Linked DNA regions of Tribolium castaneum. The main gene of each other region encodes a partner of the protein of the gene in region 2 in a complex. Links are inferred from orthologs where the notes say so. Each region holds a gene or a part of one and is shown on either strand. Other genes may lie near its edges.

The links.
Region 1: E(bx) (region 2) and Nurf-38 share a complex: the UniProt entries of both Drosophila melanogaster proteins name them as parts of the NURF complex. The link is inferred for Tribolium castaneum from reciprocal best matches to the Drosophila melanogaster genes E(bx) and Nurf-38.

What each region holds. Positions count from the first base shown.
Region 1 is NC_087397.1:12,922,229-12,926,724, forward strand, and holds Nurf-38 (inorganic pyrophosphatase), read left to right. Parts: upstream 1-1,695; 5' UTR 1,696-1,807; coding exon 1,808-1,976; intron 1,977-2,066; coding exon 2,067-2,182; intron 2,183-2,234; coding exon 2,235-2,505; intron 2,506-2,552; coding exon 2,553-2,770; intron 2,771-2,827; coding exon 2,828-2,886; intron 2,887-4,121; coding exon 4,122-4,231; intron 4,232-4,277; coding exon 4,278-4,327; 3' UTR 4,328-4,367; downstream 4,368-4,496. Other genes in the region: CYP6BQ13 (cytochrome P450 monooxygenase), read right to left, coding at 1,385-1,426. UniProt on the Drosophila melanogaster protein: Component of NURF (nucleosome remodeling factor), a complex which catalyzes ATP-dependent nucleosome sliding and facilitates transcription of chromatin.
Region 2 is NC_087395.1:15,338,334-15,341,464, reverse strand, and holds the end of E(bx) (nucleosome-remodeling factor subunit NURF301), read right to left. Parts: intron 2,756-3,131; coding exon 2,566-2,755; intron 2,512-2,565; coding exon 2,090-2,511; intron 2,039-2,089; coding exon 1,843-2,038; intron 1,412-1,842; coding exon 1,327-1,411; intron 1,275-1,326; coding exon 1,069-1,274; 3' UTR 635-1,068; downstream 1-634. Other genes in the region: 4-aminobutyrate aminotransferase, mitochondrial-like, read left to right, coding at 1-387, 433-551. UniProt on the Drosophila melanogaster protein: Histone-binding component of NURF (nucleosome remodeling factor), a complex which catalyzes ATP-dependent nucleosome sliding and facilitates transcription of chromatin.

The DNA.
Region 1 (4,496 bases), on a different chromosome or scaffold from region 2:
GAATGGTTTTATTTCAAGTAAAATTCCAAATAGAAGACATTTTGTAAATATGGAAAGAAAAAAAATAGAAAAACTGATTCTACAAATACTGTTGGTGTTGTTTTTTTCTTCTAGATATTTTTTTTATTTTTCCATAAATTATGTCTTGTGCCGGAAATTAGGTGCACAAGTACGAAGATTTAATTCTCTCAACCTACGATAACTTAAAATAAGATAACGTAAAGTTTATCAGTTTATCAGATTCATCAATACTAAAAACTCGTACAATTTTGCCAAATTATAGTTTTTTTATCAGTAATTTAGACTTACATTTTTTTTTCTTAAAAAATATTCTGTTTATTCAATAAAACATCACTAATAAGATAAATTCTAATACATTTGTTATTTAACTAACATCTAACGTCCTTGGTAGTAATTACATCCCACTAGAATAATTTGTAAATATCTCCACTGTTGTCACTTTTGTGAAAGTTCATTGAATTTCGTCATTTATTACAATGCGGTAAGTGGTGGAAAAATCCGCGGTTGTAAGTGAAAAAACTGATCTGGCAAACGTGGACTAATTATAATTCAACAATGAATGATAATAACAATGTTGCCAATTCAAAAAAATGAATTTAATAATTTTTGAGTTTATTGTGATACGCACCGAATGAATTGCAAAATTACATTTAAATCTCTCTAATTGGTTTTAACTTAAGCGTAATAAAATGTAAAAATAATACTGTTTTTGACATTTTCGTTTTGGTTGTGCGATATCTTACAAAAACATTAGTTCATAAACGTGTTTTACTATTTTAAGTGTACAAAAGATAAAATAACACCGTTTTCCGACCAAATTGAGTGGTTATTTTAACAAAATTTTACGCACAAAAAACCAAGTAAATTAAGTAAAACACGTAAAATCTCATCAGATTTTTTACAACAATTTTTTCAAATGAGTTTTAGACATATCTGGATGAGTGGATAGTTTTGAAATTTTTTTTTTTTTTCTAAAATGTAGTTGCAGAGGTATTTTAATTTTGCATACTAAATGAGTCGATCGGATTGAAAACAGTAATTTCGGTTCACTTTCATAAAAACCATTGTGATGGAATTGACTAACCTGTTACCATGACAACTCGTATAAAATTTAATACTAAGAGTATCCAATTTCCACCACAATGGTTTTAATGGAAGTGAACCGAATATACTTAAAAACACTTAGAACATTACTATACAAAATTTTGGAAAATTTTGTTTTACATTTAGTAATTTTTACTTTTCGAGAATTTTTGAAATGCAATTGGCGACATTTCACCAGACTTGGCAACACTGGATGATGAGTTTTTGTCGCCATTACAGCGCCATCTTCTAACACTAGTTGTAGTAAATTGGTGTTTACCGAAGATTTCTGCAACGAGCGAAACCTGTGAGCAAAACGCATTGCTGACTTCAAGGTGATAAGACTGATAAGTTTCCTACGTGCGAATTGTTGAACCTTGGAATTTAATCGAAAATCGTTATCACCAGAAACTCTTAAGATAAACTGATATCAATCTGTAATTGGAAAAACAACTCCAAATTACTCACCATGGTCAATGTTAGACAAATATTTATTTTTTCGACCAATAGTTTTTAATTAGTTGTTATGTAACTTTTAGTTTATTTAATTTTAAGCCAGTGAAATGTGATAAGTTTTGTTGTTTATTGTAGTTGGTGAGTACAGTATCTGTACCTGTACGTATTTCCAAATTTTGAATATTTCGCGCCTATTTTGTATTGATTAGTTCAACAGTTAGTGCAGTGATTTTGGATAGAGGGGGCAATGGTCGTCCATAAATTCTCACGCGTGTTCGCAGGCGGCTTGCACAAACTATTATCACACCAAAGTCACAGTTTGCGGTGTTTTTCGTCCTCCGGCATTTGTTTCAATATGGCCTATTCTGTTGTTGAAAGAGGATCTCCTTACTCTCCAGACTACAGAGTTTACATCCGTAAGACTAAAATCATATAATATAACCTCTCACAATCCTTGATCTTCATCTTTGACCCCCGACCCTTATCATAGAACTTTTAATTAACAGAAAATCAAAACGGACCAATTTCGCCACTTCACGATGTCCCTTTGGTGGTGGACAGCACCAAAAAAATTTTCAACATGATTGTGGAGGTCCCCAGGTGGACCAATGCCAAGATGGAGGTAAGTCTAAAAAGGCGAAAAGATAAACAGCCATCAGCCAGCCTTCTCTTAGATTACTATGAAGGAGATCTTGAACCCCATCAAGCAAGATGTGAAGAAGGGTAAGCCCAGGTTTGTTGCCAATTGTTTTCCGCACCATGGTTACATTTGGAACTATGGGGCTTTGCCCCAAACTTGGGAAAACCCCGAGCATCTTGATGATGGTACAGGATGCAAGGGGGACAACGATCCCATAGATGTTATTGAAATAGGGTACAGGGTTGCGAAACGGGGGGAAGTCCTTCAGGTGAAAATTTTAGGAACCATTGCGTTAATTGACGAAGGTACAATCAACAAGTGCCGGGTTTTCCTCTAATTATTTTATCCACAGGAGAAACAGACTGGAAATTAATTGCTATAGATGTTAAGGATCCTTTAGCCGATCAAGTGAATGATGTTAGTGATGTAGAGAAACATTTCCCTGGTCTTTTGAAAGCCTCAGTTGAATGGTTTAAAATCTATAAAATTCCAGATGGTAAACCTGAAAATCAGTTCGCTTTTAATGGCGAAGCGAAACCGGCGAGTTTTGCGCTGAAAGTGGTAGATGAGGTATTGATCTATTTCCAAGGATTTTCTAGTGTTATTAAGTTGATGCATTTTTTATAGGTACACCGTTTCTGGAAAGCTTTGGTCAATAAAGAAGTTGATGCCAAGGGCATTTCCTGGTACGTAAAAGTTATGGTGACATTGAGTGTTTCTTTTTATGTTATTATGTTATTTGATTACGGCGTTTTTACCTAAAACTGATAAGTTACAAGGTTGCTAAATTGTTTGTTTCATATTGATTGAATGCTGAAACTTTTAAAACATGACAAGAGTTATCTTTGTTGCCATTATTTTTATACTTGAAGGTAGATCCCATTGTTATGAACAGTAATTTTTCCGTAAATCTACTATTTATTGTTTGAACATCATTATTTGCGCTGTGCTTTGCTTTAATTTATGATTCGTAAATGATAAAGCGTAATCTTAATTATTTGTATTTTTTTAAATGAAGTCATAACCAATTGGTACTGAAATAAAATATCAACTGATTTATTTGCTACCTAAGCAGAAAGTGAGGTGGACCTTTTTGTCTTTTTTTGTTTATGTTGCAATTATTTGAGTTGATTTTAAAGTTATCACTATTTTTTGATAAATTATGTACCGAATATTCCTCGTCCAAATTTTACTCAAGGAGGCGTTTGAACACAAAAAGCATCAGATTTATACTATTTGTTTTGTAAATTTTTAGTTTAAAAAACTAGCTAATAATTAATTTCGTAATAATTAACTTACGTTTTCAAAACGAATGCAATGAATTCATGATTAATGAATAGCCACTTTCGAGTAAATAACTGATATCTTTTTTTGTGATAAAAGTGGAATTGCATTTAATATGCAAAAAACTTCAAGTTCAACATTCCAAACAAATCACCCCATTTATAGTTTTTCTACAAAAACATTCAAATTTACTATTGTTTTCACTTGTTTAATTCTTTATTTAATTCTGTTTTTTAGTTCTCTAACGATCTTGATTTTGCTGGAACGCCAGAAAGCATTTATTTTTTGTATTTTATTCTGGCGTGTTTTGACAAGATCTTGCAAAATAAATGAGTTCTTAATGAAGGCTAAAATTTTTTGGGAAATCTATGCTTTTTCGATATACAAAAAGTTTACTTAATCGATTTGTTTTGCTATTGTCTATCTATCTTTAAAATTTTGCTAAACCATTCCCTAACAGGCTGTATTTAAATATGTAGTTTGCTAATTTTAGTTTTTGAGTTTTTGATTGAAAAATGTGCAAAATTCTCGTATATATAACAACCAGTGGCGGAAGTAATTTTTATCTCGGTTTCTAAATTTCCTTAATAAAAATGTAATTAAGCCATTAATTGATTGCTTTAATTACTTTTTCAAGTGTCAACACTACTATTGAGGGCAATCCATTCAAAATATCAGTCAGTGAGGCTAAAGACGTGATTAACAAAACTCCAGTTTATTCGCAACCGCAAAAGGTCGAACCTATTGGTAAGTCTCTCATAAAATTTGTTTTCTTTTTAATTTAATTTTTTAGTTGATAGAGTTTATTTTGTTAGAAGACTGTGCAATAAATGTAGACTTTAATAAACACTCTCTTCTTCTATTAAATGTTTTATAATACTTATATGTTGTGTTTTTTTTTACAGTGGATAAATGGCATTACGTCCATTTAAAATAAAGAAGATATTAAAAATTGTTACACCCGTGCATTTATTGTTTCTATTTTTTTTCTAAGGGTAAGAGTGTAGCGCAT
Region 2 (3,131 bases):
GTGGGGCCACAGGGAAGTTCTGGGCACACGAACACTTCAATCTAGAATCGCCCCCTGATATCGTCACCTTCAGCAAAAAAATGCTGACAGGGGGGTACTACCATTCGGTTGATTTGAGGCCCAAACAGCCCTACAGGATTTTCAATACCTGGATGGGGGATCCGGGGAAAATCGCCCTGTTGGAGGCGTGTCTTGAGACTATCAAAAATGAGAATCTCCTGGATAATGTTAATAAAGTCGGGGATAAGTTGAAGAAAGGCTTGTTGAGACTGGAGGCTGAATTTCCTGAAAAAATTAACTCCACCAGGGGACGTGGCACGTTTTTGGCCGTGAATGCGCACACGCCCGCTTTGCGAGACAGTATTATTGCGAAAATGAAGCAGAAAGGTTAGTGTTTGTTTGCTTGAGGACTGGGTAATGTTTCGGTTTCAGGTGTTTTGATGGGGGGCTGTGGGGATCACTCTTTGAGGCTGAGACCGTCGCTCATTTTCCAGGAACGCCACGCCGATGTGTTCCTGGAGCGCTTCAGACAGGTCCTGAGGGAAAACTAATGTAATAATTAAACAAAATAAAAATTATACTTGCGTCAGTCCTCTTCTTTCGCCTAAAACAGCGATTAGGGAATGAAACGCAGTTAATGTAAATATTATATTTACTGTTACAAGTCGATATAATACCGACCAAATATAAAAATTTCATATGTGCAAACATAAGAAGACTCTGTTAAATAACACAATATCTACAATGGCACTAACTATATCTGAATAGATGCTTTATATATCCACGTTTTATATAAATACACTACATCATGAACTCCGAAAATAATTTAAAAAACTTAAACAAGTTTATTAATTTAAATATAAATAATACAGAGCTTTTAAAAATATGTCGTAACTATTTAAATCTAACTTAAATCGCATTCGTACATATATTCACAACTTATATACAAAAAAGTCAAGATTTCAAGTTGGTCACACAATTCCTACGCTGAGATCTATTACCAATCAACTTGAAATCCCGTGTACGCACTTATTGCCTAAAATTAAAAAAGCTCATTTAAGAAACGAATCATTTGTTGGTCTCCATAAATTTATCTCTTAAGCATTTTATCTTATTCACAAAATAAGCTTCTAAAGACTCTGCACACTTGAAGAACGGAGATTCCTTTGGATTGTAGTATCGACAGTTATCGAATATTTTCGTCATGTCCCCTATAAACTCACTCAACTTTGTGTAACTTTGATCATTGATTTTATTCTCAATTTTTTGGAGGTCTGAAACAAGCGACAATCACTAAACCGCCAAAACCAAACCATAAGGACCTACCCATTGGCTCCTTAATCACCTTGTAATAATCGGGAGCTTCAGTCGGATCCACCGGCTCCATGAACGGCCAAGCGCTTTTATGAGCCTACACAAACAAAAATAATAATAAACCTTTATTAAAAAATGTAAAGAGATGAATATAAATATATTTTTTAAAGTAATACGATAAGAATAGTATGTGTTCCTATAATATTAAAAAACATAAAAATAATAATAACGAATGAAAAACAAAAATAACAAAAGAACGATTACTAAAGTAATAAATATTTTACCTTTATTTTGAATTCAAATGGTTTTCGATATTACAAATGACAACAGCATTATAAGAAACCAGGCTGTACGAAAACGTTTTACATTGTGCAGAAATCTACGGTGCACAAGTTTTCGGTTCAGGTAAAAAAGTGTTGAGGTAAACAAAATAGAATGCACTATAACTGCCATGAAAAATTTAAAATGGGAACAATTATTTCGAATTTTTTGTAAGCAGTTTTTATAACTAGAGTAAAAAGTCCTCACCTGTAATTGTTTGATTAGTTTTTTCAACGCCTCAAAGTCCTTCTGCGACAAATCCTTCATATTTGCGAAATTCACCGACGAATTCCTCTGACACCTTGGACACACATACTCGTCGATATTATCGGCTTCCGACTGCAAAATCCCCACACAGCGGCCATGGAACCAATCCTGACACCGGTCGCAACAGATATAAAACCTAAACACAAACGAATCACGCCTGAACTCAACTTCACCCAAGCCAACTCACTGTGAGTCGTCGTATGGCTGCTGACACAAACAGTACAATTTTTCCGTATCTTTGGCCTGCTTGCACTCCTCACAGACAAACTCAGTCAGCGTTCGACTACTCTCTTCGGTGATTCCCACACAATCCCCGTGGAACCAATTATTACACAAATCGCAACCGACGTAAAACTTCGTCTCGTCGTACGGCGTCCGACAAACGCAATACAATTTTTCCTTTTTAATGCCACTTCTTTGTGCCGCCGTCGATGGGACGGCATGAGTCTGTTTTTGGCCCTTCTTGTGACGAGCAGTTTTGGAGGCTTGAGGGATGACCGCCGTGGTGGCCGTCGCTGCCGATTTTCGTTTACTGCTACCAGTGCGAACCTCATCTTGTTTGGTTCGTTCGATCTTTGTCCGGGCAGCTAATTCCTCTGCTACTTCTTTCTACAATCCCAACACAATCAATATAAAATAAGATAATTTTTTTATTCAATTTACCTGAATCTCGTATTGTAATTCCTTTTCAAGTAAGGCCCGCTTTCGTAAAATGTCTTTCTTGAGAAATTCCTTCTGGCGATATAAACTGACCAATATTTTTGTTCTTTGGGTTACTTTTCGATCGGGTTCAGCCGCCTCTTTTAATTTTACGCGGGCGCGGGGCGAAATTAATTTCTCCTTGCTGGATTCACTAAAATAAAAAATAAATCACACGCGCCCTTAAATTAACAATACCAAAATAGAGCAGCAAATGCAATTAATTTTTTAAGGCTAAAAAAGACACAAAGTGTGCGACAGAGGCAACTATACTAAAAATAATTTTTCTATTTTTACATAATTAGAATTTGCGCCAACATAAAATTACTTGATATTTTTTTTATTAAAATCTTAAATATTGATAATATTGTAAGAAACGTGTAGAAGAATGATGCACTGTTATGATACGACCAAGAAACTAAAAAAATTCTTATTATTTTTTAACAAAGCGCTAATGCTACGTTTCTACTTTTTTTACGTATTTTTTAAACAAAACATTTAAGAATGACCACACGCATGACAGAGAAACC